Mus musculus: one gene and its partners. The protein of the gene in region 4 interacts with the protein of the main gene of each other region in a pairwise test. Links are inferred from orthologs where the notes say so. Each region holds a gene or a part of one and is shown on either strand. Other genes may lie near its edges. The genes, in order: Npy, Med1, Ncoa6 and Nr1h2.

Region 1 (7,889 bases), on a different chromosome or scaffold from region 4:
TAAGTATTCTCAGAGTGTGAAGCATATGTCATCAGCAACTCTATCATGACCACATATATGCATACACATATACACACAACCAGGTAAGATGGTCCGGAAGGTAAGAGTTCTTTCCATGCATGCCTAATGACTTCAGTTTAATTCCCAAAACCCAAAGAGGGAATAGAGAGACCAACTCTGGATAAGCATCCTCTGACTTCCATGTGCAAGTGTGTGCATCCATACATCACACACACACACACACATGCACGCACTCGCTAAACAGATACAATTTAAAGGTTACATATACTTAATTTTTCTGAAGTACTTTATATACAGTTTATTATTGAAATTATATTATAATTACTTCATTTACCCCCTTCTATTTCTCCCTACAAACCCTCCCACATACCTCTTCCCCCAGCTCATGGAAGTCATAGTTGGTTCTGTTTCTTCCCTGGGTTCTGGGGATTGAACTCAGGTCATCAGTGATGCACAAATGAAGCTGCTGCCCGAGTGCACCCACACTTACATCCCGGTCATCACTGCTCCCCCCTTACACATCCCGACATACCCTGGATCTTGCACTCTCCCCTCTCTGTTGGAGACACTAATGCTTTCCCTGAGGCATGATGGGGTCCTACTGGCCAACAGAAATAGTAGGATATGGTAAGGACAATATATGGACCTGAGGTTACATTCCTCTGTAAAGATAAAATAAACTACCTGCTACAGAACACTGCTAAGGGTGTTGACAAGTTGATAGCTAATTACACAATTTTCTCCATTCACTGGAAAGGCGTGGAACATCAGCAGCCACTCCATTTCCAAATGAAAACTTGGCCTGGTCCAGATGGATTAACAAATAGGCACAACAGCTGGACAAAGCTGACAGATGTTGTTCTAAGTGCCAACCCAGCAGAACTAAATCCAAATACGTTGGCGAGATTTCTCATTGCTCCTGTGCTGAGACTCAAGGGGAGCAAAAGCAAACAATGCTCATCCTCATCACCCAACGCTCACATCATTTGTTAAGATTTTCTGCAAGATTAGACTCGAGCTGGTGGCTTGCACTTGGTTAACCTGCCCTTCCGTTGATTTTGTTCATCTTCACACTTTGGGCAACCAACCTGAATTCATTTACCTCTATTATGCTTCAGAGAGTCAAAAGGACAGGCAAGTGGTTTCCCTATTTTCCAGTCAAAATTCTCCCTGTATTGTGGCAGTTTCTGCATGCTCATAAGACTTATCCAAATGGTGGCTGGGCTCAGGGCTCTTTCTCTAACAGCTCCACACTATATACCAGCAGCACTCACTTCTGGTTGTACCAAAACAGTCTCCCCTCAACGTTGCTGTATGTCCTAGGGAGTAAAACTCACCTCCACCTGAGAGCTACTGTTCTAAGGAACCACACAAACAAGACCCATAGACTAGAACAAATGATTTGGCCTGCTGAGGCAGTAAGTCAGCAGCATGCACAGCTACAGGAGAACAGTTACAAACAGGTCTGGCAGAAGGAAGGAAGAGAATAATTATAGATAAAACAGTCACACATAACACGGTAATTTTCAAAGGCGTGGACTTCTGTGCATGAATCTTTGGTGGAAAGTCAACAAGTGCACAAATGGAGCTTCTTGTGGTTTCTAAAGATAACTTTTACCAGGATGATACAGGTTCATTTTCAGAATTGAACCAGGTTTTCTTCCTGTGACATGCAAGCCCCTTTCCCTGTTGTTTCTCCCCCCCCCTCAAAGATGGTGGAGATTCCATTGAATGTTAATGATGTGGTCCCATCCACAGAAGCTCAGCAGAGGGTTCTAGCTCCATAACCCAAGAAAGCTTTCTTAAAATGTCCTTAGCTTTGTGATCTGCAAAGTGGAGACAATGAAATTCACTTCAAAGTTTTGAAGAAAAGACTGAATGGGAGGACTAGAGAAACATGAAATGGGATCATTCCATACACTGAGGCAAAGTCATATAGCAGCAGTCTTTGCAGAGAGAGAGAGAGAGAGAGAGAGAGAGAGAGAGAGAGAGAGAGAGTTCTATATGTCGTATCTAAATAATAAAGTTTGTTTTTTTAAAACAAACAATAACCAAACAGCCAAACAAAACCAAAAATAAACAAACAACAAAAACCATGGTGTTGTGGTTGGAAAGATGGCTCAGTGGTTAAGAGCACTGGCTTAACTACCAGAGGTCCTGAGTTCAATTCCCAGCAACCACATGGTGGCTCACAACCCATCTGTAATGGGATCTGATTCCCTCTTCTGGCTTGCATTAAGACAGAATGCTATACATAAAATACATACATAAATCTTGATAATGCTATCATTTCAATTGTGTAATTTATTTTTGATCTGTATGGATTAAAAAAAGAAACAAACAAACCTGAAGTCATTGACTTTCTGGGAAGTCTTTTTATTAGGCTCAAAAACACAATTGCTTTTTGCTAGTCAAAATGGTCAGATTTCAAAAGATTATGAGCCTGTATTACTTAAGCAATTCTGTATACATTGGGATTGTTTTCCCCAGAGGGCTTTCAGAATGCCACATACCTTTCTGATGAAATTAAGAATACACAACTGTTTTAGAAGCACAACCTCCCTTTTGCATCCCATCCAAACATCCCCTGGGTCGCGAGCAGTTTAACCTCTCTCTGGAAATCTACTATGCATAATTGAAACATGCTAAGTAAAGAACATTAATGCCTCCAAAGGGCTTGCCTATATGGTCCTTCAAGGTTCTCAGTAATTCTCAGTAATTGAAATGTGTTGTTAAATGATTTAGAACTAAGATGCACCAATTTTGCAGACTAAGTCCCATATTGTTTGTAAAATAGCGTGGATTTTATTTTTCCTGCTTGATTTTAATGCTGAGAGGAAAGGCAAGGCTCGCCTCTGACTTTCTGGACATTAAAAGTACAGATTGTGGTCTGTCTCTCAGGTCCCAGGCAGTTGGAGCTGTAGCCATCAGAGTCCCTAATGTAAAGGCTTTGTTCTCTTTTGTTTCTTCTTAATGGGGCACTTTCTTTTCAGAACTCAGTTGCTATAAAATGGGAAAAGTCAGCCTTTTTATTAGTTCAGAAGAAGCCCATGGTATTTATTTATTTATTTATTTATTTATTTATTTCCCTAAATGCAGCCACTCCCTTTGCCCTGGGCAGGCTCAAAGATCTCTCCACCCTTTTGACAGCTGGATTGTGTCCTTGGTTTTCTTTGACTGTGGTTGTTTACTCTAAATCAGGGTTCCTCTTCTCCCTACACCTTTACACTTCTGCACCCCTGCCCAATGCAGGCCTTTCCCCCGAGATATGTGCTGGGTAAATCTCCAACTGATGTAAGCAAAAAAGGCAGGAAAGGTAAGTGGCAGACAGAGGACAGCCTAGAGGCACTGAACCTTGGGCTTGGGTCTTGGAGAGAAAGTCTAGTGACAAAGACAATGTATCCAGTTTGTGGAGTGTGTACCCAGCTCACATATTTATCTAGAGCTGAATTTATGTCTGATCCTGCCCTATGAACAAGGAGAAAGAAATGATCCCTGATGTCCAAGATCTCCAGAACCGCAAGTTTTCCCGGCTCTAGGTACCAGCCGCGTATGCACCCACCTCTGTCTGGTGATGAGATTGATGTAGTGTCGCAGAGCGGAGTAGTATCTGGCCATGTCCTCTGCTGGCGCGTCCTCGCCCGGATTGTCCGGCTTGGAGGGGTACCCCTCAGCCAGAATGCCCAAACACACGAGCAGAGATAGAGCGAGGGTCAGTCCACACAGCCCCATTCGCTTGTTACCTAGCATCTGTGGATACAGAAGGCTCAGACTTGGAGATGCTGAGATTGCTCGTCTTTGTCCCAATTCCAGCTATCACTCTAGACCCTCATCTAATCCCATCCCAGACCCTAGAATAAAAGCCCAGACTGGGCAGGCGCCACTTCCAAATCTTTAGAAGACCACTTGCCCCGACCTGGATCTTCTGCCCCGTCCACATATTTCAGAAAACTTCCTCCGATTCTCCTGGTGAGAGGCAGAGGTCCCCTTTTCAGAACAGAATTGGAAGTTCTGCCCTCTATCTTAAAGAATGACCACTTTTCTCCTCTCGTTCCTAAATCACCCTTGGAGGAGAAAACTTTTCTTCTGGGTTGCTTTTGATTTGTGTGGCTACAAGCGCTGTGACAGTCGGATACCCAGAGGCTCAGTTCGGATTTTGGAGGCAACAGAGCTCACCGTGCTAGAGACAATACTTGGGGGAATCTCCCACTAGGAGCACACATGCAATCTGGGTTCCTGGTTGTAACCAACCAACCAACCAAACAAACAAACAACCAAACAAAACCCCACCGCTGCCCTGGGATAGGTGTTCCCAGGTTCTTCTCCCTACCCTCAAAAGATAAGAGGCACGGAGGCGGGGCGCCCAGATTGGAGGGTCCCGGGGAAGGGCAGGTGGACAGTAGAACCTGAGTCCAGCAAGTGAAATTTAGGCGCCCCAAAGAGCTGGGTGTCAAGCTGGCAGAGCAAGCTCAGGGGACCGGCTGCGGGGCAAGTTCACTGGCGTCTGGGAGCCCGCGCCCCTGTCCCAGTTGATCCTGGCACTCACCGTGGCGGGCGGGCAGTCGTCGCTGAGCGGCGGGTGCTCTGCTCTGGGTGCCTCTGTGAGAGAAGAGATCCACCGGTGGGATGCGGAGAGCGGGTCGCCCACAGGCTTTTATGGAGCGCCCTTGTCGCGGCAGGAGGGGCCTCGGGGGCAGTCACGCCCGGGTGACTCCCACAGCCACTTCCCGCCCCCAGCGGCGGGGGAGGAGGCTGGAGCCACTGCCGCTCGAGTGGCGGCGTCTGGAGCCACCCACACCCCAATTCTAAGCGGCCCGCTCTGCGGGGAGAAGGGAACAGTCAAGAGTGAGCACCCTCGGAGCCCTCTCTCTATCCCCGACCGTCGAGTCCCGCTAGGGAGATGAAGCGGGACCGCTTAGGTTGCCTGTCGCGGGAATTGTCAGCTCTCTGCGTGCGGGTCTGTAGGGACCTGAATATTCTACTTGGGGAGCATATCTGGGGCCCGCGGGATAACTGCGCGCTCTGGGAGGGAGGCAGGCGAGCGAGGTTTTTCCCGCTCCCGGTGCAGGTGTGCGGGACCGCAAGGTCCCAGTGGCTTCCATAGACCCATTGGATCTACTGGTCTCCCCAAAAGGTGGGCCCTCCCCCAAGCACTCTCCCCAACGCTGCTAGCCGGGTTCGGCCTCAGCCAGAAACTCCCCGAGGCTGCCACTGGGAGCCCGCGGTCCATGAGCTTCTGTATCTAGAGTGGAAAGTGGCGGCGATTCGCACCCCTGTCTGTAAACCCTGTGAAGTCCCGAGTGAGCTTGGTTAGCGTCTGAATGAGCACTTGCTTTCAGATTGAAATGGAGCAGATTAAAAAACCAACACCAGTGTGCTTGTCGCGTTAAACTTGTTGAATAAATATGAACGATATTGAAGTTATGTTTACCAGATAGGGATTTTTACAAGGTACGCTTGAGTAAGTGCCCCTGGAAGTTTGAATCTAAGTGAAATGGTCCATTGCTAAAGTGGAATTTACGCGTTATTTTAAAGCTAAACTAAATGATTTCGTTTGAGTGTCACTTTGCGGGTTGTTTAAATAGTGCTAAATTGACTACTAATAAGAGGGAGAGAGGGAGGGAGGGAGAGAGGGAGGGAGGGAGGGAGGAAGAGAGAGAGAGAGAGTGAGAGAGAGAGAGAGAGAGAGAGAGAGAGAGAGAGAGAGAGAGAGAGACTATGTGATCGAATGATAAACCAGAACAACAATATCCCTCGCAGCTGGAAGACTTCACTTTCCCTACGTCAGAAACCTGCACCAGGGCCACAAACACTGAGCTGTCAGGGCTGCTTTTGTGCCCACATGAGGACATTTGATAAAAGGCAAAGCATCTAACAAGTCCTCTCTGATAAGGAGGAAGGCACACACTACTGTTCAATAATGTAATTATATTTTTGTAGTGAATCAGAGATTCACATCAGTTGAAGCCTGGATTTAGCAGGAGTCACAGGATCTCGGAGAAAGTACACCTTAGGGCGCGAGGGAGGGGCACCACTTTTGAGCAGGGACTCTGGGAATCTGATTCACTTCCTTTATAATGTCGGTGCTTGAAAACAAGAACTTTTCCCATCAGCATTTGGAAAATAAAGTCAAGGGAGGGTGTGCCCAGGATGTCACACTGTTCTCTTCCTTGTTGTCCAAGCTGCATCATCTGGCCTTGAGCTCTCAACATTCTGCTGATACCACTCCATCAATTAACTCCTTTGGTGGCTTCCTGAAATCATTGGTAGCTCATAGAAACAACCTCTCCCCCAACAAACAAAATCAAACGTCATTCAAAGCAGCAGTGTCCTAGCTGCTGGCTCTCTCCTTTGTTCCAAAGTCAACTTCATTGACTTTTTATTTATATGCGTGATCATTCATTGTAATAGCTTTTCTAAACTATCAATAAAATATACTAAGAAGCTTCGGATGTTTGAAAGATTCCCTTGGATACACATTCACGAATCCATAAAGAACATAGGTTCATCACCTCCTGGACTTTTGACATCCCTCTGACAGTGCCCTCTCCTGCTACTCCCGGTTCCCTTCCTCCATGGGTCTGTCTCCTGACATACAGAGTTGTTTGCATATCTAGCCCAGCTCCACAATAGCTTCTCATCTGTGCTTTTAATTTTTTTTAATCCAACACCCTTAAGCTAAGACTCACCCAAATGTCCACAGCACACACTGTACCGTTGACACATTTCCATGCTAAGACACCCCTCAACTTCAAGAACCAACTCAGCTTCTCCTAGATCCCAGGTTCCTTCCAGCTTGTACTGTGACTAACTCTGCAAGGGCATTGATTGATAAGTCACTGTGTTGATGTAAGCAGTCATTTCCCATAGGGGAACAAACATCAAGTCATCAACTGACGTTAGCTCCATCCCACAGGTCACTGCCAGTCTATTTTGATTTGTTTTTTTTTTTTTCATTCTATTTTGGCCAGTTCCTATTGCTACATCTTTAGTTACTTCATTTATTCTGTTTCAATATGCGATCCTTGTCAGTTTTATTCAGTGATTTCGCACCTTAGACAATATAACTTTCATCTTTAGAATTTCAATATGGGTCTCTTTAATACCCATCATGTCAACTCTTTATTCTAGGTTTTTAACACATCATTATTATTACTATTATTTTGACATTTGAAATAGGTTCTCCATATGTAGTCTAAGATGACCTTAAACTCCCAATAACTGTTTCAGTCTCCCAAGTCTTAGGATTGCAGGCCTGTGCTGTCAGGCCCAGACTGATATGCATAATCAATAACTTCTATCATCCATACAATTGCTGTATTTGGATTGCTTCCCACCACATGATGACCTGCATTTTCCCTCTTCTTCATCATCTTTGATAGGACTTCAGAGACTGTGGATTTTACATTGTTGGCCCTTGGACTCTTTTTTATATGTCCCTATAAACACTTGGGCTTTGTTCTGGAAGGATGAAAACTCTGGCAAGTTGCACCTTGCGCTTCAGTTTTTTTGAGGAGGCCAAGCTGGCTTTAGTCTAGGGTTAATTTTGTTTTCTGCTTTCAAAGATCATTCTTGCTTTATCTGATAACTGACAGCTGAGGGGGACAGGTTTCCCCCTCTGGCTGTTGGGCTACTCCCAGCCTTTGTGAGCTTGGGACCTTCCTTACCCAGGCCCCTGGGTGGCTCTTTGTCTGACCTTGAGTGGCTTCTTTGAAAGTAGGATTTATTTAGCACTCAACTAAGTTTTGGTGGGAGATACTGCAGATCCCCTGATAGTCCCACTGCAGGACTTTCCAGGCTCAGGCCCACCTCCCAAGGCTGCCTGACTCGCTCAGCTCTGCATGGCAACCTGGCAGGCTCTCCAGTCA
Region 2 (7,920 bases), on a different chromosome or scaffold from region 4:
GACCAACCGAGGCTCCTGCAAAGGACACTCTCAAATGTGTTGAGATGCCCACAGGCTGTGCCGTGTGCTTCAGGTTCCCATGCTGGGTGGGGCCTTGGTCATGCAGCTGTCTTTGAGTCATTTTTGCTCCTGTAAGTATCCCTAATAAAACTCATTGGTTCACGAAGTTGGACTTTCACCCTACCTTGTAGTGAGCTAGCTACCTATCTGGGGGTGAGAAGATGTGTGTGTTGCATTTCCCCAGGAAAGTGTGGTCACACAGTAGCATCCCTACACACATCACAAATACAAAAGCACACTAAGACCGTTTCCAGATATTCACAAAGATCTCTTCTTACTAAATGTGTGCTGCTGGTTCTGCTTTTGTGAACCATGCTGTCTGTTAGGATGGCTTTGGGAAATGTTTGACTAGCCTTTGGTTGGTTCGTTGGAGACATCTCACTATGTAGCCCTGGCTGTCCTGGAACTCACTTTGTAGACCAGGCTAGCCTTGAGTCTCCCTGTCTCTGCCTCAGCAGTGCTGGGATTAAAAGCCTGAATAGCATTTTAAAAAAATTTTTTTTTTTTTTGAGGGCTGCAGAGATAGATCGCCCAGTGTTTAAGAGCACTGGGTGCTCCTCCAGAGGTCTTGAGTTCAATTAGCAACCACATGGTGGTTCATAATCATCTATAATGTGATATGATGCCCTCTGTGGCATGCAGGTATACACACAGATAGAGCACTCATATCCATTAAAAAAATTTTTTTTTGAGACCAGGTCTCTCTACATGAATCTGGTTGGTCTAGAACTTGGTGTGTAGACATGCTGGCCTCTCTGTCACAAATCTGCCTACCTCTGTCTCCAGAGTTCTGCGATTGAAAGTATTCGACACAACCTAGGCAGCAGTGGCACACCCTTTAATCCCAGCACTCTAGGCAGAGGCAGGAGGATCCCTTAGTAGGAGGCCAGCCTGGCCTACAGAGCAAGATCCAGGACAGCCAGGGCTACAGAGAGAAACCATGTCTCAAAAAAAAGAAAGGAAGAAAGAAAGAAAGAAAGAACAAATGAACTACACTAAGATCAGATCTTTTACTCACTGTTGAAGTTTATTCTGATTGTTTCCAGAGGTCATGAACGTCTCAGAATTACAGAAATTGTGTTTGTGAAGATTTATCAAGACATTGACTGAAGATGTTTTTTGTGATTCATATTGTAGAGAGTAAGTTAAACGTGTGTTTTCACTGGTGTTATAAAAATCAATGATAATACATAGTAGAATCAGAAAAAAAAAAGTTCTCTAACCTAAAATCCTATGTAGTCTTATAAAATGTATAAAACTGAATGAAATAGGTTAGACTTGCTTCCAGGGTGTGTAAAAAGCACCAGTACTGGAGTGTAGGTGCTGTGGTGCTGAACATAAGCAGGATGAGGAAGCCGGTGGATCTTTGTGAAGTCAGGCCAGTCTGACCATGCATCCAGGCCCCGAGCAGCCAGAGCTACAGGAGCCCTGTCTCAAAACCAATAAGACAAACAGCAACAAAAGCCTAAAGTACTGCGGTCCTCTTTTTAAGAATTTTAGATATTACTTTAACAGTTTCTGTGCTTGATATAGGTTAAGTCCTTATTTATTTACTATAAATTGTGCATTACCTCTGTACAAATGGGAAACAAATTAAGCTCAATTTAGATCAATATACTGTTAATTTCTGTACAGAGCCAAGCTCAACATGGTAAACGATGATAATGTTTTCCAAAAATCATCTTCTTTGTGTGTGTGAAGTCATTCTTTTTTTGTTTTGTTTTTGTTTGTTTGTTTGTTTTGTTTTTTGGGTTTTTTTTTTTTTTTTGGTTTTTCGAGACAGGGTTTCTCTGTGTAGCCCTGGCTGTCCTGGAACTCACTCTGTAAACCAGGCTGGCCTCCAACTCAGAAATCTGCCTGCCTCTGCCTCCCTAGTTCCTTTCTTTTTCTTTTATTTATTATATATATATGTATGTATGCGTGTATATGTGTATATGTATGTGTGTGTGTGTGTGTATATATATATACTGTACCTGTCTTCAGACACTCCAGAAGAGTGAGTCAGATCTCATTACAGATGGTTGTGAGCCACCATGTGGTTGCTGGGAATTGAACTCAGGACCTCCTGAAGAGCAGTCGGTGCTCTTAAATTAACTGAGCCATCTCTCCAGCCCCTTCTTTCTTTTTTTTAAACAACATAACTGCTTCTGGTTCTTCAGGAAATTTCACCTTCCCACTTTCTCTAGGAATTAAACCCAGGACTTCAGACATGCTAATCAGGTATGTTGCTGGTGAGTTACAAGTCTTGTCATCTTACAAATCTTACTTTTTTGTTGTTTTGTTTTGTTTTTGTCCAGGCAAGGTTTCTCTGTAGCCTTGGCTGTCCAGAAACTTTGTAGACCAGGCTGCCCTCATACTCAGAGATCTACCTGCCTCTCCCTTCAGAGCGCTGGGATTAAAGGTGTGCGCCACCACCAGGCAAACTCTAAACACCCAAACACTAAAACTCACTGGAAATCTTTCAGTAGAGATTATTTTGTAAGGACCGGTTTTCACTATCCCCTTCCTCATTGGGATTATAGGAGTGTGCCACTTTTCCAGGTGCTCAAAGAGCAAACATTTTGTTTCGTTTGAGACAGGGTTTCTCTGTGTAGCCATGGCTGTCCTGGAACTCACACTGTAGACCAGGCTGGCCTCGAACTCAGAGTTCCGCCTGTCTGCTGGGATCAAAGGCTTGAGCCGCCACCACCGCGGGACGGAAGAGCTAACGCTTTTAATTTACAAATTGTGTAACTGTCGGGATGCAAACATAAACTTTCAGAGAGATGTCAACTCTGGGCACACACCCTTAGACGCCAAGGTGTGAATTCTGAGCCAATCGGAGCCGGGCCTGCTAGAGATCCTGCGGGGAGGACGAAATCAGCCAACCTCCGCGAGACTTTGGTGCGGTTCCTTCTTCCTCCGTCTCACAGGAACACGATTAATCTCGCGATCTTTGGGAAGTTCCGTTGGGGAAGATGGCGGCGGCCGCGAGCACCCTTCTCTTCTTGCCGCCGGGGACTTCAGACTGAGCCTTCCCCGGAAGAGTCGGGGCCGCTGGTGCGCCGCTTCCCCGGAGCCCAGGCTAACTTGGTTCCCCTCTGAGTGGCGGGGAAAGGCTCCCCGGCTCGTGGCGGACCCAAGACCTCCCCGCTGTCAGGATGAAGGCTCAGGGGGAAACCGAGGGTGAGTGACTGGGGGGTGGCGGGGAAGGAGGGGCGGTACACCGCTGCGGCGAGCCAATCCGAGAGAGGAGGTGGGGACCCACGCCCCTCCAGGGCCACCGTGCGTGGGACCGGATCCTGGTGGAATGTGCATCTTAGATCCCGACCGAGCCCTACAGATGCTGGAGCGCCTCCTCCGGGGCGCTGCTCCCCCGTCTCCTCCACTCGTGAAAGGTTTTCTGCGGGACGAGGGACGAGGAAGTTGAGCCTCAGGGTACTTTGAGCTTAGCCCGGTGGGACCCAAGGAGAGGGAAACTGAAACTTGTTGATGCTTTGTTCCAGGAGAGATCGCTGAAGATGACACTAGAACAATGTAATGTCAAAGTAATGGAGGGTGTTTTAGCCGGAGTGACTTGCTTGGTTCGATCTTCATCATAGTAAAAGCGGGCCGTTTATTACTTGGAAGGTCATAGTGTTCAAATACTGTGCTGTGTCTTTACGAACTGCTTTCAGTTGTGCACGACCGGTGGCTTTAAAGCTTGGGGGAGAGGTGTTCAGAACTATAAACTGGCAGGAACAATCCCCAAACCAGTTTCCCAGTTGAGGGAAGAAAAGGGAAGGGATAGAATCTTCTTTGTTTCTTGAGACAAGGTCCCCCTGCCTCAGCCTCCCAAGTGCGGGCTTACACACCTCTCGGCCAGCTAAGAGTTTGATTCTTGGTTCAGATACTCCCTCCCACGACCTGGACTGGCTTATCCAAAAATGAAGTCTCGACATTTGTAGCAAAGTGGACGATACTCAAAATAAGCCATATTAAGATAAATAGCACATTTTCTCTTATGAGGAATCTCGACGTAGGTATGTGTTGGTGTGTGTTGGTTGTGAAAACATGGGACCATGTGGGAACAAAGGAGGTCTGCAGGATAGAAAGGTTAGTGGAATATGAAATGAAGTGAGAGGTTTGGCTGTTTGGAGGTTGGGGCAGTGTGGCTCTCAGAGGGAGAGGACTTGGACCAAGTATAATGGCCTATATGTATAAGAATGCCAAAATGATATGCATTGCTTTGTATGTTAATTTAAAGATAATTTAGAGGCTGGGAATGTAGAGCAGTGGTTAGAGTAATGTCTTCTTGTCCATGGGTTCAATTCCCAGCACCAAAAGAAAAGGAAAAAGGGAGCCAGGTGTGGTGGCCCACAGCTTTAATCCCAGCACCTGGGAGGCAGAGGCAGGCGGTTTCTGAGTTCGAGGCCAGCCTGGTCTACAGCGTGAGTTCCAGGACAGCCAGGGCTACGCAGAGAAACCCTGTCTCCAAAAACCAAAACAAAACAAAACAAAAAAAACCCCTAATTATTTTTTTTTTAAAGATTTTATTTATTATATATGTAAGTACACTGTAGTTGTCTTCAGACACTCCAGAAGAGGGTGTCAGATCTCATTATGGATGGTTGTGAGCCACCATGTGGTTGCTGGGAATTGAACTCAGGACCTTCAGAAGAGCAGTTAGTGCTCTTAACCTCTGAGCCATCTCTCCAGCCCTAAAACCCCTAATTATAATAACGTCTTCCTTAAATTGTGCTCCAAGTATATCCTTCAAGGTGTTGTGAGCCCAAGGGTCCAGTGAGAAACCCTGTCTTAAAAACTAACACGCAAAGAGCCAACTGGTGATGGTTCCTGCCTTAGTCCTAGCACTTAGTAGAAAGAGGCAGGTGGATCCCTGAGTTTGAAGCCAGCCAGACCTACAAAGAGACAAGACAGCCAGGGAAGCTCTGTCTCAGCCGTACCTCATAGCGGCACACACCCATAGGAGGCTGATGAAAGGAGACAAGAGGATGCCTTAGAGCATAGTCTGGGCAAGCCTGGGAGGTGACCCATGTTTATAATCCTAGCACTTCATAGGTAGAGGTAGGAGTATGAGGAGGTCACCACTTACATTTCTTTACTAGGAGGTAGGGCATCTACCATATCCACTGTGGGCTCTGGGGCGTGAACCCAGACTCTCATGTTTGGCATTGCGGGTGCCTCTACTCTTGTAGCCATCTTGTCAGCCCTCAAGGTCATGGTCAGCTGGGCTGTGAGAGACTGTCTCAAAATGGAAGAAAAAAAGCAGGGAGGTGGCTGGAGATCGAGCTGAGGGTTTAAGAGCCCTGTGCTTTTGGCATAGGTTCAGGTTTGGTTCCCAGGAAACACATGTCCACGTAGCAACTCACAAGCATTTGTAACTTTAGTTTCAGGAGTCTCGGTGTCTTCTGGCCTCCATGAGCACTGCACAGACATGCCACACATCCATGAGTCAAAAAATCAAAACAATAACAGCAACCCTTCCCCCAAAAAAACCCAAAAAAATGCATACCCAACATATTTTTTTTTGAAATAAAGAATATGTATTTCATGTGTATGGTGGTTTTATCTCCCTGTATTTCTGTGTACCAAGTACATGCCTGGTGTCCTTAGAACCCAGAAGAGGAGAGCAGATCTCCTGGGACTGGAGTTGCATGTGACTGTGAGCTGCCATGTGGGTGCTGGGACTTGAACCCAGAACTTCTGAAAGAGCAGCTAGTGCTCTTTAAAGGATGCATTGGGCATTGTAGAACTGTTTTGATGCCAGTACTTAAGAGGCAGAGGCAGGTGGACCTTTATTTGTTCAAAGCCAGCCTTTTTAGACCCTAACACCAGATAAAACAACACAATGCATCGGGGCCTGGAAGGTCCCATGTACTCATGGTGAAAGGTGAGAACTGGCTGCAGAAAGCCATCTTCTGATCCCCACAGGCACTGTGGCCAGTTTACACCTGTGTTCACACATCACAGACAGCCGGGCATGGTGGCCACGCCTTTAATCCCAGCATTTGGGAGGCAGGCGGATTTCTGAGTTCGAGGCCAGCCTGGTCTACAGAGTTCCAGGACAGCCAGGGCTACTCAGAGAATCCCTGTCTCAAAAAAACAAACAACAACAAAAAAAGACATCCTCACACAAATAATAAACACAGTCTGGTTTGGTTTCTAGTAGTATTTTCAATGTTCGTTTTATATATGTGGATGGTTTGTTTGCATGTATGTCTATGCATCGCATGTGTGGCCGTGGAAACCAGAAGAGGGTGTCAGATCCCCCGGAACTGGAACTGGAGTTAGAAATGTTTGTGAGCTGCCATGTGAATGCTGAGAGTCTCACTCAGGTCCTCTGGAAAAGCAGCAGGTGCTCTAACCACTGAGCCATTTCTCCCTTGGTTTTTATTGTTGCTGTCTGTTTTAAGACAGGGTCTCATTATGCAGACCAGACTGGTCTTGACATGACAAAGGTATGACTGCTTCTGTCTCCTGAGTTTTAAGATACAAGGTGCATGTCACCGTGCCTGGCATAAAAATAAAATTTAAAGCTATCTTCTAAGCTGGACACAGTGTGTACCTGTAGTCACAGTGACTCACGAGGCTAGGGCAGGGGCATTGTCGGTGCTGAAGACTCCAAGGCCAACAAAATGGACAACTTAGTAAGATTCTGTCTCCAGGAAATTACGTTAGACAACCTTGTGTGTTGTGTATATATTTGAGACTTCGATTTCCTTTGTAGCTCAGGCTAGCCTTGAATTTACAAACCTCCTGCCTCGGTGTCTCCAGTGCACGGATGGAATTTATGGGTGAGCATTTTCCTAGCTGGCTTTCTTTATGTTTTGGAGTACATTTATATAAAAGTGCTTTGACAGTTCCTAAGTGAAATACAGGGGTTCTTTTGTAGGAGAAACTGTGGAAGTCTTGATGTCAGAGTGTCTAATGGTGGTTTCTGCTTTCCGTCGTAGACTCAGAGAGGCTGAGTAAGATGAGCTCCCTCCTGGAACGGCTCCATGCAAAATTTAACCAGAACAGACCTTGGAGTGAAACCATTAAGCTTGTGCGTCAAGTAATGGTGAGTATTGGGAAGGTACTGAGAATTACTGCCCAGTTGTACACAACTCATGCTGAATCTTTAAAGGATGCATTGGGCATTGTAGAACTGTAGAAATATCACTTTCAGTTATGTCTAAAGAAATTAATTAAAAAGTACTTTGTAAAAAAAAAATATTTAAGAAGCTAGTTGCCAGGCCGGGCTTGGTGGCTCACGCCTTTAATCCCAGCACTCGGGAGGCAGAGGCAGGCTAATTTCTGAGTAAAAAAAAAAAGGAGAAGCTAGCTCCCGAATGCGCAAGGGTTGCTAGATCCAATGCTGTGTCCGTGCTTTTACTCATCACAAAACAGCATGGTGGTGTTGATTTCCAAGGCCAGCTCAGGAAGAATGTGCCTTAGGAAGGAGGTAGCTTGAATTCCCATCCACAGAGGATTTATTCTAGGACCTCTCACAGATCAGAGGCAAGCAGGTATCTGAGTTCAGGGCTAGCCTAATTTACAGAGTGGATTCCAGGTAAGCCTGGGTGACACAGAGAAACCCTGTCTACAAACAAACAAAAAGGCATTGTCTTTGCACACTATTTATAAACATTCTCCTATATACTTTAAGCCAATCTTTACATTACTTACAACGCTTAACAATACAAATAACATGACTATTTGTTATGCTGTGATGTTTACTGTCAGTACAGAACAGTATTCTTTTCCTTTTTAAAGATTATTTATTTATTTCATGTATGTGGGTGCACTGTCTCTGTCTTCAGACACACCAGAAGAGGGCTTCAGATTCCATTACAAATGGTTGGGAGCCACCATGTGGTTTCTGGGAATTGAACTCAG
Region 3 (7,388 bases), on a different chromosome or scaffold from region 4:
ACCTATGGACATTATATTTAAGTATTTACTTAACCAATGCAGTGCTTGCACAGTATATTCCTGAAGCAGTCTAGTTAGTAGACAGAGAGCATTATTGTTTGACGGAAGGAAAGAAGCCTTGTAAAGGTGTATATGCAGTGCAAAGTTTATAATTTTAGCTAGTATCTTATTACCTGGTGGCCGGTTTGAAAAGTCTGGCAGTTTGGGGCCTGTGGTGTCCAAGTTGATTCCTTGTTCTCCAGGTAATGACTGTTGATCAACTTCCTCTAGACCAGTTGGACGATTATCTGGGGTGCTAAAACACAAGTAGCACAGATTGAGTAAGCTGTATAAGGAACACAGGAATCTAGTGCAACCTCTTCCTACTTTAAACAACAACAATGTGTTTATATATTGCTCTTACCATTATTTGTATCTTTCTAGTCTGGATTCTTACTAGTGACATAAGAGTAACCTGGCCATTTCATTAAACCTTACAGTTCATTTAATCTTAGCAGTGTCCTTACTCAGTGTCACTCTCTAATTCCTGATACTATGTTTTATATAATGACCTTTGATGTTAGCTTGAGCAGGACTCTGAGCTTCCAGTACTCTGCAGTGTCACTCCTGTGATACCGACTCCAGTGTAGCTATTAATGCAACCCAGATGCCAGGGATTCAGCAGCCTAAGGTAACTTTACATGTCTGCCAACTGGATGGAGACGGTACTCAAACAATAAAGGTGGAAAATACCACAACAAAGCTACTTAGCTTTGCTGTGGAACGAAGACTTGGAGACATTAACCATTGGATTCTTTCTGTAACTTAGAATTCTAGTGGGAAGCCGGGCGTGGTGGCACACGCCTTTAATTCCAGCACTCGGGAGGCAGAGGCAGGCAGATTTCTGAGTTCGAGACCAGCCTGGTCTACAAACTGAGTTCCAGGACAGCCAGGGCTATACAGAGAAACCCTGTCTCAAAAAAACAACCAACCAAACAAACAAACAAAAACCAAAAAATAAAAAATAAAAAAAGAATTCTAGTGGGAAAGAAAAAAATGAAAACATTCTTTTTTTCCTACTCATGCCCACATTTTTGAGGATCCAGTGTGCTTATATTCCTCATTTGGTTTATTTTTTATTCCCATTTGTATCTTCCTTTCCTAAACTAATTTCCCTTTGATTTGATTATGGTCACCCCCTTGTAAACAGTATTTTGTCCCATAACACTCTGTATAGTTTTATAAACCATCAAATTCCTTTAAAAAACAGCACCAGCAGCAGCAGCATAAGACTGGAGAGATGGCTCAGAGGTTATGAGCTATAGCTGCTCTTCCAGAGGATCCAGGTTCAATTCCTAGCATCACCATGGCAGCTCATAACCACCTGTCACTGTAGATCCAGGAGACCTGACACTCTTATCTAGCCTCCGGTAGCATCAGATACAGAAGCATGTGGTGTACAGACACACGCAGCCAAAATACCCACACATAAACAATAAGAGACCCCCCCCCAAGCATTTAACAGGTCCTAAGGACAACCAAATCACTATGCCAATTTGTTCCTTATATAACTTTCCAGTTATTTCAAATTATAAATGAAGATTTTGTGGTATCCTTCACTTAAAAATTTTTTATAGCTAAAACAATGAAAGAAACACTAATAGTCTAAGACAGGTTTCATGGTAAGATAATGGTAGAACTGGAGGTAGGTTAGCTTCCTCCTAAGCCTCTCTTTCTTAGGAGCCCTGCCTGATGCTGTTTAAGACCCTTTTAGAAGTGTGTTGAATCAACAATTCACCAGAAGGCTGGTGAAGACAGCAAAAACATACTAATGGCAAATGAATAAGTATAATTTTATTTCTAGCATACTGAGGGGAATAAGATAATTACTACCATAAAAAATGTTATTTAGGGCTGGTGAAATGGCTCAGTGGGTAAGAGCACCCGACTGCTCTTCCGAAGGTCCAGAGTTCAAATCCCAGCAACCACATGGTGGCTCACAACCATCCGTAACAAGATCTGACTTCCTCTTCTGGTGTGTCTGAAGACAGCTACAGTGTACTTACATATAATAATAAATAAAAATCTTTAAAAAAAATGTTATTTAGACAGGTTAATAGGGCTGGAGAGATGGATCAGTGGTTAAGAGCACTGGCTGTTCTTCCAGAGGTAGCTCACAGCCATCTGTAATGGGATCCGATGCCCTCTTCTGGTGTGTCTGAGACAGCTGCAGTGCACTCACATTAGGGGTAGGGGTGGGGTGGGGTAAGCCAGACAACTTGATAACAGCAAGAATTTAACTGAGGTATAAGGAAAATAAGTCTGAATTCAGGAAAATATATGCTGTTAATATATAGTGACTGACGTTTAATATTTAAGACTCAAGAAGTAGCAAGTTACTGTGATAGACTAAAACCAAAGCACGTTGTAGAAAAGCCTGGATAAAGGCAGCTGGAGTTAGTTTGAACATTTAAGCTCATTTAGACAAAGCTCCCCTGTTGGAGTTTTCTTTCTGTCTCTAGTTCCCCCATTCCATCTTTCCCCTTCTCTCTGAGGTCTCCCTAGGTAGCTCAAGCTAGGCTCCTGTCTCAGCTCCCTGAGTGTTGAGATAACAAGTGTGAGCCACCATAATTGGCCTAGCAATTTATCTCAAACTGTTTTGTAGTCACCAGTCACTAGTCCCTGTTGATAATGTCTCTGAACTCATTTTAATGATTAAAGACTGAAAATCTACCACAAACACTTAGCCAAAAATCAGAAACATAACTTAATATGTAGTTTTAGGATATGAAACATAATTGTTAATTATCCTTCCTGTTGTGTTTTATGAAAGAGCTCCTCTGGGGAACTTTTACATAAGGGAAACTGATTGAAGCTTTTAGGGACGGTAAGAGATTTTTAGAGAAAAAGCACACATGTAAAAATTTTTTCCCCTATTGGCTAGATGCAGGGTGTCTTCACGATCAGTTTTGCTTCAGCAAACACATTCCCCGAATACCCCAACAGCCAGCATAACATTCAAGTCTGTGCTCTATAGAATGGCAGTGGGATATCACTGGTCACTTTTCAGGCTAAGGGAGTAGTGCACACCTTTAATCCCAGCACTCAAGAGACAGAGGCAGACAGATCTCCTGTGACTTTGAGACCAACCTGTCTACAGAGTGAGTTGCAGGACAGCCAAGGCTACACAGTGAAATCCTGTCTTAAAAACAAAACAAAGGGCTGAAGAGATGGCTCAGTGGTTCAGAGCACTGACTGCTCTTCCAGAGGTCCTGAGTTCAGTTTCCAGCACCCACATGGTGGCTCACAACCATCTGTAATGGGATCCGATGCCTTCTTCTAGTATGTCTGAAGACAGCTATATATAGTGTACTCATATACATAAAATAAATAATAAATCTTAAACAAAACAAAAATCTGTCAACAAATATCCACACAGAAACAACTGAGTCACATTTGAGGTAAACTGATCATAACTTACTTTAGATCTTGGTGACAATTTTTCTTCTTCCGAGGCGGTTTCTTCTTCTTCGGTTTATTTGCATTGGTATTATTTTGTTTATTGTTTACACCAAAATGGCCTGCAGAAATGTCACTCTGTAGTAAGTTGACCAACAATGGGCTCGTTAACGTTACATCTTTATTGACGGGAAAGCCTGGATTTTGACCACAAGACATCTGACTTCCATTGGGTGCACCACCAAATGGTGCATTGAAAGACACTCCATGGCCCGAGAAGTGGCTTCCCGAAGCACTGTTTCCCTGCATGCTCTGCACATGTGGGGGGACCATGCTGGCTTGCTGCATGCTGACATCAGGCATCATCTGAGACAGGTTGACATCATTATTTGCTGTGGTAACTGGATCATTATGTTGCTGGGCCATGTGTGGACTGGGTCCTGGTGGCCGCAGAACCTGCCCCTGAATCCCCATAACCTGAGATGGACTGTTGTTCACAGGTCCTTGCTGAGGCAGCATCTGTCCTGACATCTGTCCTGTGAATTGCACCATGTTTCCTTGCATATTCGGAGTTGGTCCCCTCATTATTTGTGCTGGTCCCGGCATGACATTGGATTGGTTCTGAGAGTTAAATTGCGCCTTATTCCCCTGCATCTGATTGGTCATTATTTGCTCTATCATTGGGTTCTGCTGGAGCAAAACTTGCCCCTGAGGCCCCATCATCTGGTTATGTGGTGCCATCATTTGTGGGCCCTGCTGGGGAAGCATCTGCTTGGGTGGGGTCATCCTTTGGGGTGAAGGTCCAAGATTTTGGTTTTGAGCGTTCACCATCATCTGGCCCTGTGGCATAAGCTGGGCCCTTGAAAGGATCATAGGATTTTGAGGGTTCAAAGTTCCTTGTTGCTGGGCCATTTGGCCCTGTGAGGGCACAATCTGTTGGTGCATGCCCATCAGCTGAGATGGTGGGCCTTGCTGGGGCTGGCCTTGCATGTTGCCCAGGGTCACCTGAGGAACCCCAGAGCTACCAGCCTGCTGGTTGTTTATGTTGCCATGAATTCCCATGAGGCTGGGTTGCATCATATTTGGTGGCCCGTGAGACACCTGCATCTGGTTTTGAGGAGGACCAGCTCCTTGACCACCTTAAGAAACAAAACCAAAGAACAAAAAATTATCATCATATTAAGGTACTCCAATTACATTACTTAGAAAGGCACCTATCATACATATACATAATAACCAACATAAATGCACATGTTTAACACACTTTCTGTGAGTATTTTAGACTCTGGAGGTATGATATAGGGTGGGGGTAATTGCTTACATTTTCATACACTAAGAAAAACATGTCTTTATTTTACATAGTAACTTAAAGACAACATTAGAAAATAAAGTTTACTTTCATATTAAATGAAGTATTATCAGTTTTATAGCATAGTTTGTAACTACCTTACTGTGAATAAAACTTAAAAACCATCATGGGCTAGAAAATGAGCCTCATTATGAGTAAACAAGGGAAACAAAGAATGTACCAGTGTCCTCTAGAAAAAACTCAGGAACACAGAAAAGACATTTCAAAAATGCTTCTTTGAAAAGTAATTATGCCTTTCAAAGACTATGTGTGTGAGATCTGGATGCTGTGCTTTAAAGAAGATAGTTACAGTATAGCCTAAGGACAGGGTACCTCTGCTTAAGAGACCTAGAAACAGGAAGATGCTGAAAGTTTAGTGATCCTACTCTGTGACAGTCCCTACTGGACCATATGGGACTTGTTCTAAGTTCTCTTTCAACCAAAGGCACTGTTGGTACTGTCTGGCCAGATGAATTGTTTATTGTTAGAGCCTTGGAATTTTCCTATAGCTACTTGCTTTATCTCCAAATCTTACTGTGGCATTGAACATCGAACCCACAACCTTCTATATACTTAGAATGAAGTCTACTGGAGTTAAATTCACAATCTACCCCACCCACTTCAACTGAGAAACCATCTGGCTTATTTTGTCTGTTCTGTTGCGACAGGACATCGATATTAGCAGGCTGCTCTGAAACTGTGTGCTCCACTGCCTTGAACTGTACCACTATGCTTGACTTGAAAGTTTTCTCAGCTGGGCATAGTGGCCGATGTCTGTAATGCTAGCACCTGGAAAGCTGAGGCAATAGAACTGTCATAAATTCAAGGGCAGCCTAAACTACATGGTAAGATCCTATCTCAAAACACCAAAAATAAAACCGATGAATTTAAGGCCTCTTATAAGCTGGGAAGGTACTCTACTACTGAGCTATATATACCTTGAATGCATGTTCCTGTCATTTTTGGTGTATATATGTATACATGCATGGTGTGTACGTGTTATGCACATTTGAATATGTGTGGTCTGTGCAGGTCTCTATTTCCCAACCCCTGGGATTGTGGGTAGCTGCCACACTCTCTCAGCTTATGTGGCTTCTTGGAATCCAAACTGTGGTTCTCATGCTTTCACAGCAAGCTCTTTAACTATCGAACCTTGTCCTAGCTCTGATTTTTTTTTTATAACTTTAAATAGGAGCTATAAAGTGGCAATCTAATGAAGTTACAGACCAGTCCATGCTCTAGCTTGAGAGAGAAGCATAAACTGCCCACTGGTTACACATCACACTTCTTCCTGAGTTTCAGAAAGGCTTTCTAAACCAGCCTCATAAAGTCAAACTTGAACTCCATAAACACTATAAATACAAGTATACAGTCATCCAAGCAACAATTATTTCAGTATCCAATAGCAGTTAGGATTATTCAGTTATTGATACTAAATCTAGTGCTGATTTAGTATCAATAAAACGGTTTAAGAGGCAAGAGATTAAAAACTAATTTTTTCAGGAAGTATTAAAAGTTAACAGAACATTAAGACAGGTAACAACAGAAAATGATAGACGAGAGGAGAACTGCTTTAAACAGACCAGATGGAGAAATGAAAACAACAGATAAACATGGAAGTCTTCCTTTAAAAAGTAAATAGCTGTGCTAGGGTGGAAGAATTATACATTTTTAAAAAAATTATTTTTATTTTATGTGTACAGGTATTTTGCCTATATATGTCTGTACACCACATATATGCTTGGTGCCTGTGGAATCCCCTGAAATTGGAGTAAGCCATCACTTGTCTCTCATTTTTATTTCTTAAAAAATTAAATTTTTACTTATTATTGTGTGTGCATGTGATGAAAGTGTAGGCAAATATTCCCATTGGCAAGGAAGGCCAGAACAAACACTTTAACCTGCTGAAACATCTTGTGAGCTCTAGATTTTTTTCCCATTCTTTAAGCAATTTATAACGAACATTGGAAGTTCAGGAAATTTTAAGCTAACTTAGTGTAAACTACTTCAATGAGAAAGGGCAAAAAGATTAGTCACTTAATTCCTAAGCAAACAAAAGAAACCCAGCAACATGAAATTTGGGCTTTAAAAGCTGCTTCGAAGAGTACTTATTAACCAATCTACTATATGTTATTTCCTTTCCAAACTTTCTTATATATACTATACTATTGGTACTGATTAAATTGGAAAAAAGCCACACTGCATATCAGAATTTAGGCATTCAGCATAAATGAAGCTAATATGTACTATATAGAGATTTTAAGAGTTGAAGATGTTCAAACATGCCATATATCTACATACCCATGAATTTATGGTTTCCTTTCCCAGAAACGTCTTTTGCCTCCACATGCTCTAATCTCCGGTCAGCAAGGCAGGCCATGCTGGTTTGGAAACAGGAAAGGAGTGGGAGCACTATTGCCTCACTAAGCAGACTCAATAGTTGCAATACAGTTCAAATGATCTAAGCTATTTACTATCGGCCCTTTATAGAAAGAAAGTGTGTGCATATGTGACTCCTGTTCTAACTAAAGTTTCATTTCCTTTCCAAAGGTGTTTCTTGATTCTTGAGAAATAACTTATTTTCCATATTTCAATCATCACC
Region 4 (7,845 bases):
TACTTTGTGGGTTCTTCCTTCTTCCACTCTTCACCCCCTTTTCTTCCACCCTGGGCCAATCTCCTAACACTAGGTATGAGAGAAAAAAGGATAGAGGGGAAAGAGATCCCTGAATAAAGTCAGGAGTGAGAAAGGGGTAACGTTATTGTTAGACTACTTCCTGTTGATTAGGGTTATCGAGTTCCTTGGGGCAAGTTTGATCTTTGAACTCAGGATATCTAATTTCTTCTTTGCCCTCGACTACTTAACAAACTGCCACTGACAACAACCAGTCACCAGTCCACCTCTGGGGGCCCTAGCATTTATATACGCTCTGAAAAGTTCCCAGAATTCTAAAGACTATACAATTGCAGAAACTATCTGCAGCTGGCAAAACCATGCCTCTGCTAGAGCACCAGGCAAGTCAGTCAAGTGTTTCAAACAGCCCCACATCCCCACGCCTTGGACTAAAACAAAAACATGTTGTATAATAGTTCTATGTTCTTTTAAAAACCAAGATTCCAGACTTCTCAGTACACTCATTCACGCACACAGGGATAAAAGTGGTTGGGTCATTTGCTTTGAGGAGGTGCTATCCGCCGCCCCCCCCCCCCCCCGGGCTCAGAGGGCCTCGGGAACCAGTCCAACCTCAGATAACCTCAGTGTCCTAGAGGACACTAAGTCATATGTTTAGGTTTGGAGTGGGGAGCAACCCTGCTTCCAGGGCCAGCATCTCAGTGAATTCAAACAGTATGTGACAATTTACTAATATAATGTATATTAAATGTAAACATAAACACACATACATATATAAGTGTATAAATACATGCTTAATGAAAAACAGTGAGCGCATGACAGGTCCCAGTTATGGCAGAGGAGGTTTATTGTAGATATAGGGAAGAGACCATCCGGAGGCATTTGTAAGAGTCCAGACTGAACTGGGCCAACAGAATAAACCGGGCCATGGGGTCAGGGGTGAGAGAGGGAGGATGGGGGAACCAGGACACAAAGAGGACCAAGAGAGCTAAGGGACATGTAGCCAAAACAACTGGATTATGTGGGAATGAGAATCTTGGGGAAAAGGCTGAGGGTAGGGGTAACTATACACTAACAGGTATTGGTGATACTGAGAGGGACTGGCGCCGAGTCCACATATTAATATGCACCTCAGCTATCCGTCCAGGCTTTGGCTTTTGTTTGTTTGTTTTGAGACCTATCACTTATTTCTGAAAAAAAGCATGGGTTAGTGGCTGGGTCTCAGGACCAATTTTGTTGCATGACTGAGGTAACGTAGGCTCCAGCCTCAACTTTGTAAGAATTTGTTAGATTATCATAGCATGGCACTTTTAATCCCAGTACTCATGAGGCAGAGGCAGGAGGATCTATCTCTGACCTGGAAGCCAACCTGGTGTACATAGAGTTCTAGGACAGCTAGAATGGCGAGACCATGCTTTTAAAAGGGGGTGGGGGTTAAACCAGGTAGTGGTGGTATGCACTTCTAATCCTAGCACATGGGAGGCAGAGGCCTTGGCCAACTCTCTTAGGAGATGAAGGCCAGCCTGGTCTACAGAAGCAGTTCTAGGACAGCCATGGCTACACAAAGAAACCCTGCCTTGCAAAACAAACAAATCAACAAGAACAACAGTGGCCGGGCGGTGGTGGCGCACGCCTTTAATCCCAGCACTTGGGAGGCAGAGGCAGGCGGATTTCTGAGTCCGAGGCCAGCCTGGTCTACAAAGTGAGTTCCAGGACAGCCAGGACTATACAGAGAAACGCTGTCTCGAAAAAACCAAACCTAAACAAAACAAAACCAAAACAACAACAACAAAAAACAAAACAAAACAAAACCAAGAACAACAGCAACAAAAGTTAAGTAAAAGCAAGAATTTGTGCTTAATAAAGATTCCCAACTGTCCATAAGTGGGGAGTGCGGAGAAACAATCTCTGAATGTTTTCCATCTGAGATTCACACAAGTATTTCAATCTTTTGTGAAAAAGCTGGTATTATTACTTTTATGGGAGAGGGGTTGAGGCTACTTGTTTATTCACATTTAGCTGATGGCCAGGTCTCACTTCCTAGCTCAATTTGGCTTCCAACTAAAAGCAATCCTCTTGCCTTGCCTGGGTCTGTTTGCTTATTGCAGGCATGGGTCTGCACCCAATTTGCCTTTTTTATATTTACTTCTTCCTATTATGAAGCTGAATGCAAAAATAAATTCTTGTATAAAAAAGTTCCTGGGCTGGAGAGATGGCTCAGCAGTTAAGAGCACCAATTGCTTTTCTGAAGGTCCTGAGTTCAAATCCCAGCAACCACATTGTGGCTCACAACCATCCGTAATGAGATCTGATGCCCTCTTCTGGTGTGTCTAAAGACAGCTACAGTGTACTCACATATACATAAATAAATAAATCTTAAAAAAAAAAAAAAAAGTTCCCGAGGCGGGGACATCAAGAGAGTCCAAAGTGAACAAGATCCAGAATCAGGACATGTGAGGAGGAGGAGAAGGAGAAGGAGAGAGAGGCGAGCCAGGAGAGTAAAGGACCCAGTAACCAAATCGGCTGGATTATAAAGGGAAGGGCAGCCCAAGCCCTGAGCTGGAGAAGTTTAAGGTATGAAAAGCCTTTAAGCTTTTTAGGCTTAAAACCATCCTGTAACCATCTTGCCATCTCCAAATTTAAAATATTTAGAACCAACATACAGGGCTGGAAGAGGAGCTGCTACCGCAATAATGGGGAGGTAAAGGCAACAGGCTCAGAAGTTTAAGGCCACCCTTGAAATAAGAGATCCTGTCTCAAAATCAAGACAAAAATTTTTTTAAAAAGCAGCCATGCAGCACCGCTACAAAAGTAGAGAACTTTAAACTACTCAAAAAGGTTAAAACCTGCTTCGTTAGCCACCTGCGAAAAGAAACGAAAGAACTTTCCGGAACTTTTTTCTGAGTCCCAGAGGGGAACTACCAGAAGAAATAAACTTCCGGTGTGCCACTTCCGGCCGAGGCCTCACAGTCGGTGGCGCCCTGGCAGACCGGAAGTCTGTCACCTTTCCCGGTCCGCCTACTTCCGGAAGTGACGCGCAGCGGGGTTGCCGGAAGAAGTGGCGAAGTTACTTTTGCTTTTCGCTCAGCAAGCGCTGTTGCTTCGAGCTACTCCCAGGCTTCTGAAGTTACTTCCAAAGTGCTGTGGAGGCACAATCACCGGTGCGGACACAGAGGCAAGTGCGCCGGGCGGCCGGGCAGGTGGGACTGAGCCCGGTACGCGGATCGCCGTGGGTCCCGCTTAGCGCGCGCATCCTTCCCTCACTTTCCTCGCAGCTCTCGCCTCCCACGGCCGTTTCCAGGGCAACAGAGTCGGAGACCCCCTGCGACCCCCCTCCCGATCGCCGGTGCAGTCATGAGCCCCGCCTCCCCCTGGTGCACGGAGAGGGGCGGGGCCTGGAACAAGGTGGGCGTGACTCTACGGGGCGGGGCGTAGGGAAAGCCTATGGTTGGTGGGCGGGGGCGGGACACAGATGGGCAGAAGGCCTGCTGTAGATAGTCTGTGATTAAAGGCTTTTGATTCTTGGGGCGGGGCCTAGACCACTGTTGGGGGGGATTGGGAGGGGCAGAGGCATGGAGGGCGTGGCACAGTGAAGACCTATAATTGGCTTTGGGGGAATGAGAGGGGCGGAGCCTAGGAGGAACGGGGCGGAATTTGGGTTTCTGCTCCAGAGTGGGAAGGGGTGGGGCCAGGGACTTGATGGGATGGGTAGGGTCTGGGGTCTGTATTGGGGTGCGTTAAAGCCTTGAAGGAGCCTATGGTAGAAGGGTAATGGTTGCGCCCTGATGGGAGAGGCGGGGCAAAGTTAGGATCTCCCATGATAAGAGCACAGTTGGTGCTCACAGAAGAGGAATAGAGTTGTTGGGCTCTCTGAGGTCATGATTCGTAGAGAGGTGGAAGGAGCAGTGGGCCGGGTTGGGCATGTTAAAGTGTGTGATGTTTATTAGGAACTAGGGCTGGGAGTGGGGGCTCAATATAGAAGTTAAAAACACTGAGGTGTGGCACAGTCTTGTAATGGCAGCACTTGAGAGGCCGAGGCAGGAGTGCGGAAGATCCCAGGACAGCCTAGAGTAGTGTGTTCCAAGATTTTGGAGGTGGTTCAAGCTGTTCAGCCACATAGTTCGGGTAGCCTGAGCTGTATGAGATCATGTCTCAAGAGTCCGTGAGCACTGGAAGAAGAGACACCCCTATTATGCCCTGTAATTGGCTGGCTCCCCTATGTTCAGCAGGCTGCTTCGTGACCCACTATGTCTTCCCCCACAAGTTCTCTGGACACTCCCGTGCCTGGTGAGTGACGGGCTTTCCCTAGCCAGCCCCTTCCACAGTGTTGGAGAAGCTCACTGTCCTGTCTTCCTTTTCCTAGGGAATGGTTCTCCTCAGCCCAGTACCTCCGCCACGTCACCCACTATTAAGGAAGAGGGGCAGGAGACTGATCCTCCTCCAGGCTCTGAAGGGTCCAGCTCTGCCTACATCGTGGGTGAGATGGGGAGACAGGAACAGGGGTGTGGGGCTTTGTGAAGGAAGGGCGGGGAGATGGTGGCCCCTGTCTTTTGGTCCGCTTTCCCTTCCTTTTCTCCCTGACACCGCCGACTCGTCCTCCGGAGCCCGCCGACCTGCAGATCTTTCCCTTGGCGTTGCAGCCCCGTCCTCTCACCCTCGCTTCGGGACCTCCCATGGCCCGTTCCCCGGCTGCTGTTTCTCTTTGTCGCTATCTCTCATGGCATCTGCTCACCCCAAGTCATCTTAGAGCCAGAGGATGAGCCTGAGCGCAAGCGGAAGAAGGGGCCGGCCCCGAAGATGCTGGGCCATGAGCTGTGCCGCGTGTGCGGAGACAAGGCTTCGGGCTTCCACTACAACGTGCTCAGCTGTGAAGGCTGCAAAGGCTTCTTCCGGCGCAGTGTGGTCCACGGTGGGGCCGGGCGCTATGCCTGTCGGGGCAGCGGAACCTGCCAGATGGATGCCTTCATGCGGCGCAAGTGCCAGCTCTGCCGGCTGCGCAAGTGCAAGGAGGCTGGCATGCGGGAGCAGTGTAAGCAAGGGGTGGGGCTAGAGGGAGAGCGGGTCACCTGCAAGGGGAGGTGTAAGTGAGGCTGAGGCCCGCCTCTGAGGCCGGCTTTCCCGCAGGCGTGCTCTCTGAGGAGCAGATTCGGAAGAAAAGGATTCAGAAGCAGCAACAGCAGCAGCCACCACCCCCATCTGAGCCAGCAGCCAGCAGCTCAGGCCGGCCAGCGGCCTCCCCTGGCACTTCGGAAGCAAGCAGCCAGGGCTCCGGGGAAGGAGAGGGCATCCAGCTGACCGCGGCTCAGGAGCTGATGATCCAGCAGTTAGTTGCCGCGCAGCTGCAGTGCAACAAACGATCTTTCTCCGACCAGCCCAAAGTCACGGTATCGCCCTGCCCGGCCCTGTGGACAGAGCCCACCCAGGCTAGGGAGGGGTTTCCTAGGGCGTGCGAGTCCCCCACGTGACCGTGGTCTTTTGTGTCCCAGCCCTGGCCCCTGGGTGCAGACCCTCAGTCCCGAGATGCCCGTCAGCAACGCTTTGCCCACTTCACCGAGCTAGCCATCATCTCGGTCCAGGAGATTGTGGACTTTGCCAAGCAGGTGCCAGGGTTCTTGCAGTTGGGCCGGGAGGACCAGATCGCCCTCCTGAAGGCGTCCACCATTGAGGTAATAACTAGGCTCTAGGACGAGACCAGAGCTGAACATGGTACAGGCATGTCCTGACCCTTGTGGGGTGTAGTCAGCTGCAGGGTCCCATCCAACAAGGTATCTGGAGCCTCCAGAGAGCCAGCCAGGGAGAAAAGGGAAATGGGCTGAGGTAGAGAATAACGGAGGATATCAGATGGGCTGTTAAACAGGAAAATGACCCAAAGACTCCAAAGGAATGGATATTGGAGCCAAATCAAGGATAATGAAGTATTGAGAGTTAACTGTGTGCAGAGTTCTGAATGCTAAGAATTAAACCTCTAGCCTGGGCCTCACGGTAATGTGGGGTTAGTGGCCTTGGATGGGGCAGTGGGTGATAGAGTTGAAGGAAGGAAAGTTAAGAATGTCTTACCTGGCAGAAGGGTGGCAGCCTGCTGGTCTTGGCACATTTGACTCTGGGGCAGCTGAAGAGCCCTGTACCTTGTCACCTCCAGATCATGTTGCTAGAAACAGCCAGACGCTACAACCACGAGACAGAATGCATCACGTTCCTGAAGGACTTCACCTACAGCAAGGACGACTTCCACCGTGCAGGTCTGTGGAAGGCACTGACTTGGTCCTGGGGTTTCTGCCCCGTTGGCCCTCCAGGCCAGGCAGGCACTGGCAAGGAAAGATCATGTTTAGCGAGGCCAGATGCATCGTGTAAGAGGCACTCACAGGGTCTGTGTGGGGCGGAAGCCGGAGTAACTGTCACAGGCTGTCCTTCCTTCCCCTTTGAGTGCCCTGGGACCAGGGTCCGGTGTGAAGCTGGGCTGGGGCTGCTCTTGCAGGCTTGCAGGTGGAATTCATCAATCCCATCTTCGAGTTCTCGCGGGCCATGCGGCGGCTGGGCCTGGACGATGCAGAGTATGCCTTGCTTATCGCCATCAACATCTTCTCAGCCGATCGGCCTAATGTGCAGGAGCCCAGCCGTGTGGAGGCCCTGCAGCAGCCCTACGTGGAGGCGCTCCTCTCCTACACGAGGATCAAGCGCCCACAGGTACGGGAGCTGCCTGTTGTATATGAGCAGTCTCAGTATTGGGGTCCAGTGGCACATGTTGGGCACACTGAGCCTGGGGCCTGACCACTCAGGGTGCTGGCTTTCCAGACAAAGCTGGCTTTGCAGGACAGGGCCCCAGCAGGACCGACTTGCCTCCTCTCCCTGCAGGACCAGCTCCGCTTCCCACGCATGCTCATGAAGCTGGTGAGCCTGCGCACCCTCAGCTCCGTGCACTCGGAGCAGGTCTTTGCATTGCGACTCCAGGACAAGAAGCTGCCGCCCTTGCTGTCCGAGATCTGGGATGTGCACGAGTAGGGGCAGCCACAAGTGCCCCAGCCTTGGTGGTGTCTTCTTGAAGATGGACTCTTCACCTCTCCTCCTGGGGTGGGAGGACATTGTCACGGCCCAGTCCCTCGGGCTCAGCCTCAAACTCAGCGGCAGTTGGCACTAGAAGGCCCCACCCCACCCATTGAGTCTTCCAAGAGTGGTGAGGGTCACAGGTCCTAGCCTCTGACCGTTCCCAGCTGCCCTCCCACCCACGCTTACACCTCAGCCTACCACACCATGCACCTTGAGTGGAGAGAGGTTAGGGCAGGTGGCCCCCCACAGTTGGGAGACCACAGGCCCTCTCTTCTGCCCCTTTTATTTAATAAAAAAACAAAAATAAAGTTTGAGTACAAGCCATTCCTGAGCCCAGTGTGGAGAGGGTGGGCCATCTCTCTGCCCAGGTGACTGCGCTTGGTCTAGGTTCAGGCCACAGGGGTAGGGGTCGCTCCGCCGAAGACAGGTTATCTTCATACAGCATAGTTTGAGACACTAAGGCGGATGGAGGCCAGTGGAAAAGGAGAGGAACTTTAAGAGGAGGGTCTCAAAAGAACACTTCTTTTTTTTTTTTTTTTTTTTTTTAATTTTATTTATTTTATTATTATATGTAAGTACACTGTAGCTGTCTTCAGACACACCAGAAGAGGGCATCAGATCTCATTATGGGTGGTTGTGAGCCACCATGTGGTTGCTGGGATTTGAACTCCGGACCTTTGGAAGAGCAGTCGGGTGCTCTTACCCACTGAGCCATCTCACCAGCCCAAAAGAACACTTCTTAGGGCCAGGTTTTCAAAAGCTGAGGACTGCATCTGGCCATGAGTG

The links.
Region 1: the proteins of Nr1h2 (region 4) and Npy interact in a two-hybrid assay, tested with the Homo sapiens proteins (3 studies listed by BioGRID and IntAct). The link is inferred for Mus musculus from reciprocal best matches to the Homo sapiens genes NR1H2 and NPY.
Region 2: the proteins of Nr1h2 (region 4) and Med1 interact in a two-hybrid assay, tested with the Homo sapiens proteins (2 studies listed by BioGRID and IntAct, with this or other methods). The link is inferred for Mus musculus from reciprocal best matches to the Homo sapiens genes NR1H2 and MED1.
Region 3: the proteins of Nr1h2 (region 4) and Ncoa6 interact in a two-hybrid assay, tested with the Homo sapiens proteins (2 studies listed by BioGRID). The link is inferred for Mus musculus from reciprocal best matches to the Homo sapiens genes NR1H2 and NCOA6.

The regions. Positions count from the first base shown.
Region 1 is NC_000072.6:49,819,480-49,827,368, reverse strand, and holds the start of Npy (pro-neuropeptide Y preproprotein), read right to left. Parts: upstream 4,660-7,889; 5' UTR 4,568-4,659; intron 3,772-4,567; coding exon 3,584-3,771; intron 1-3,583. UniProt on the Homo sapiens protein: NPY is implicated in the control of feeding and in secretion of gonadotrophin-release hormone.
Region 2 is NC_000077.6:98,188,364-98,196,283, reverse strand, and holds the start of Med1 (mediator of RNA polymerase II transcription subunit 1), read left to right. Parts: upstream 1-2,990; 5' UTR 2,991-3,200; coding exon 3,201-3,225; intron 3,226-3,377; exon of another isoform or gene 3,378-3,477; intron 3,478-6,995; coding exon 6,996-7,102; intron 7,103-7,920. UniProt on the Homo sapiens protein: Component of the Mediator complex, a coactivator involved in the regulated transcription of nearly all RNA polymerase II-dependent genes.
Region 3 is NC_000068.7:155,411,352-155,418,739, forward strand, and holds part of Ncoa6 (nuclear receptor coactivator 6), read right to left. Parts: intron 4,578-7,388; coding exon 3,461-4,577; intron 296-3,460; coding exon 174-295; intron 1-173. UniProt on the Homo sapiens protein: Nuclear receptor coactivator that directly binds nuclear receptors and stimulates the transcriptional activities in a hormone-dependent fashion. Coactivates expression in an agonist- and AF2-dependent manner.
Region 4 is NC_000073.6:44,549,154-44,556,998, reverse strand, and holds Nr1h2 (oxysterols receptor LXR-beta), read left to right. Parts: upstream 1-3,033; 5' UTR 3,034-3,190; exon of another isoform or gene 3,191-3,194; intron 3,195-3,290; 5' UTR 3,291-3,420; intron 3,421-4,241; exon of another isoform or gene 4,242-4,244; 5' UTR 4,245-4,262; coding exon 4,263-4,302; intron 4,303-4,378; coding exon 4,379-4,492; exon of another isoform or gene 4,493-4,753; coding exon 4,754-5,044; intron 5,045-5,139; coding exon 5,140-5,399; intron 5,400-5,501; coding exon 5,502-5,681; intron 5,682-6,154; coding exon 6,155-6,254; intron 6,255-6,490; coding exon 6,491-6,699; intron 6,700-6,867; coding exon 6,868-7,014; 3' UTR 7,015-7,383; downstream 7,384-7,845. UniProt on the Homo sapiens protein: Nuclear receptor that exhibits a ligand-dependent transcriptional activation activity. Binds preferentially to double-stranded oligonucleotide direct repeats having the consensus half-site sequence 5'-AGGTCA-3' and 4-nt spacing (DR-4).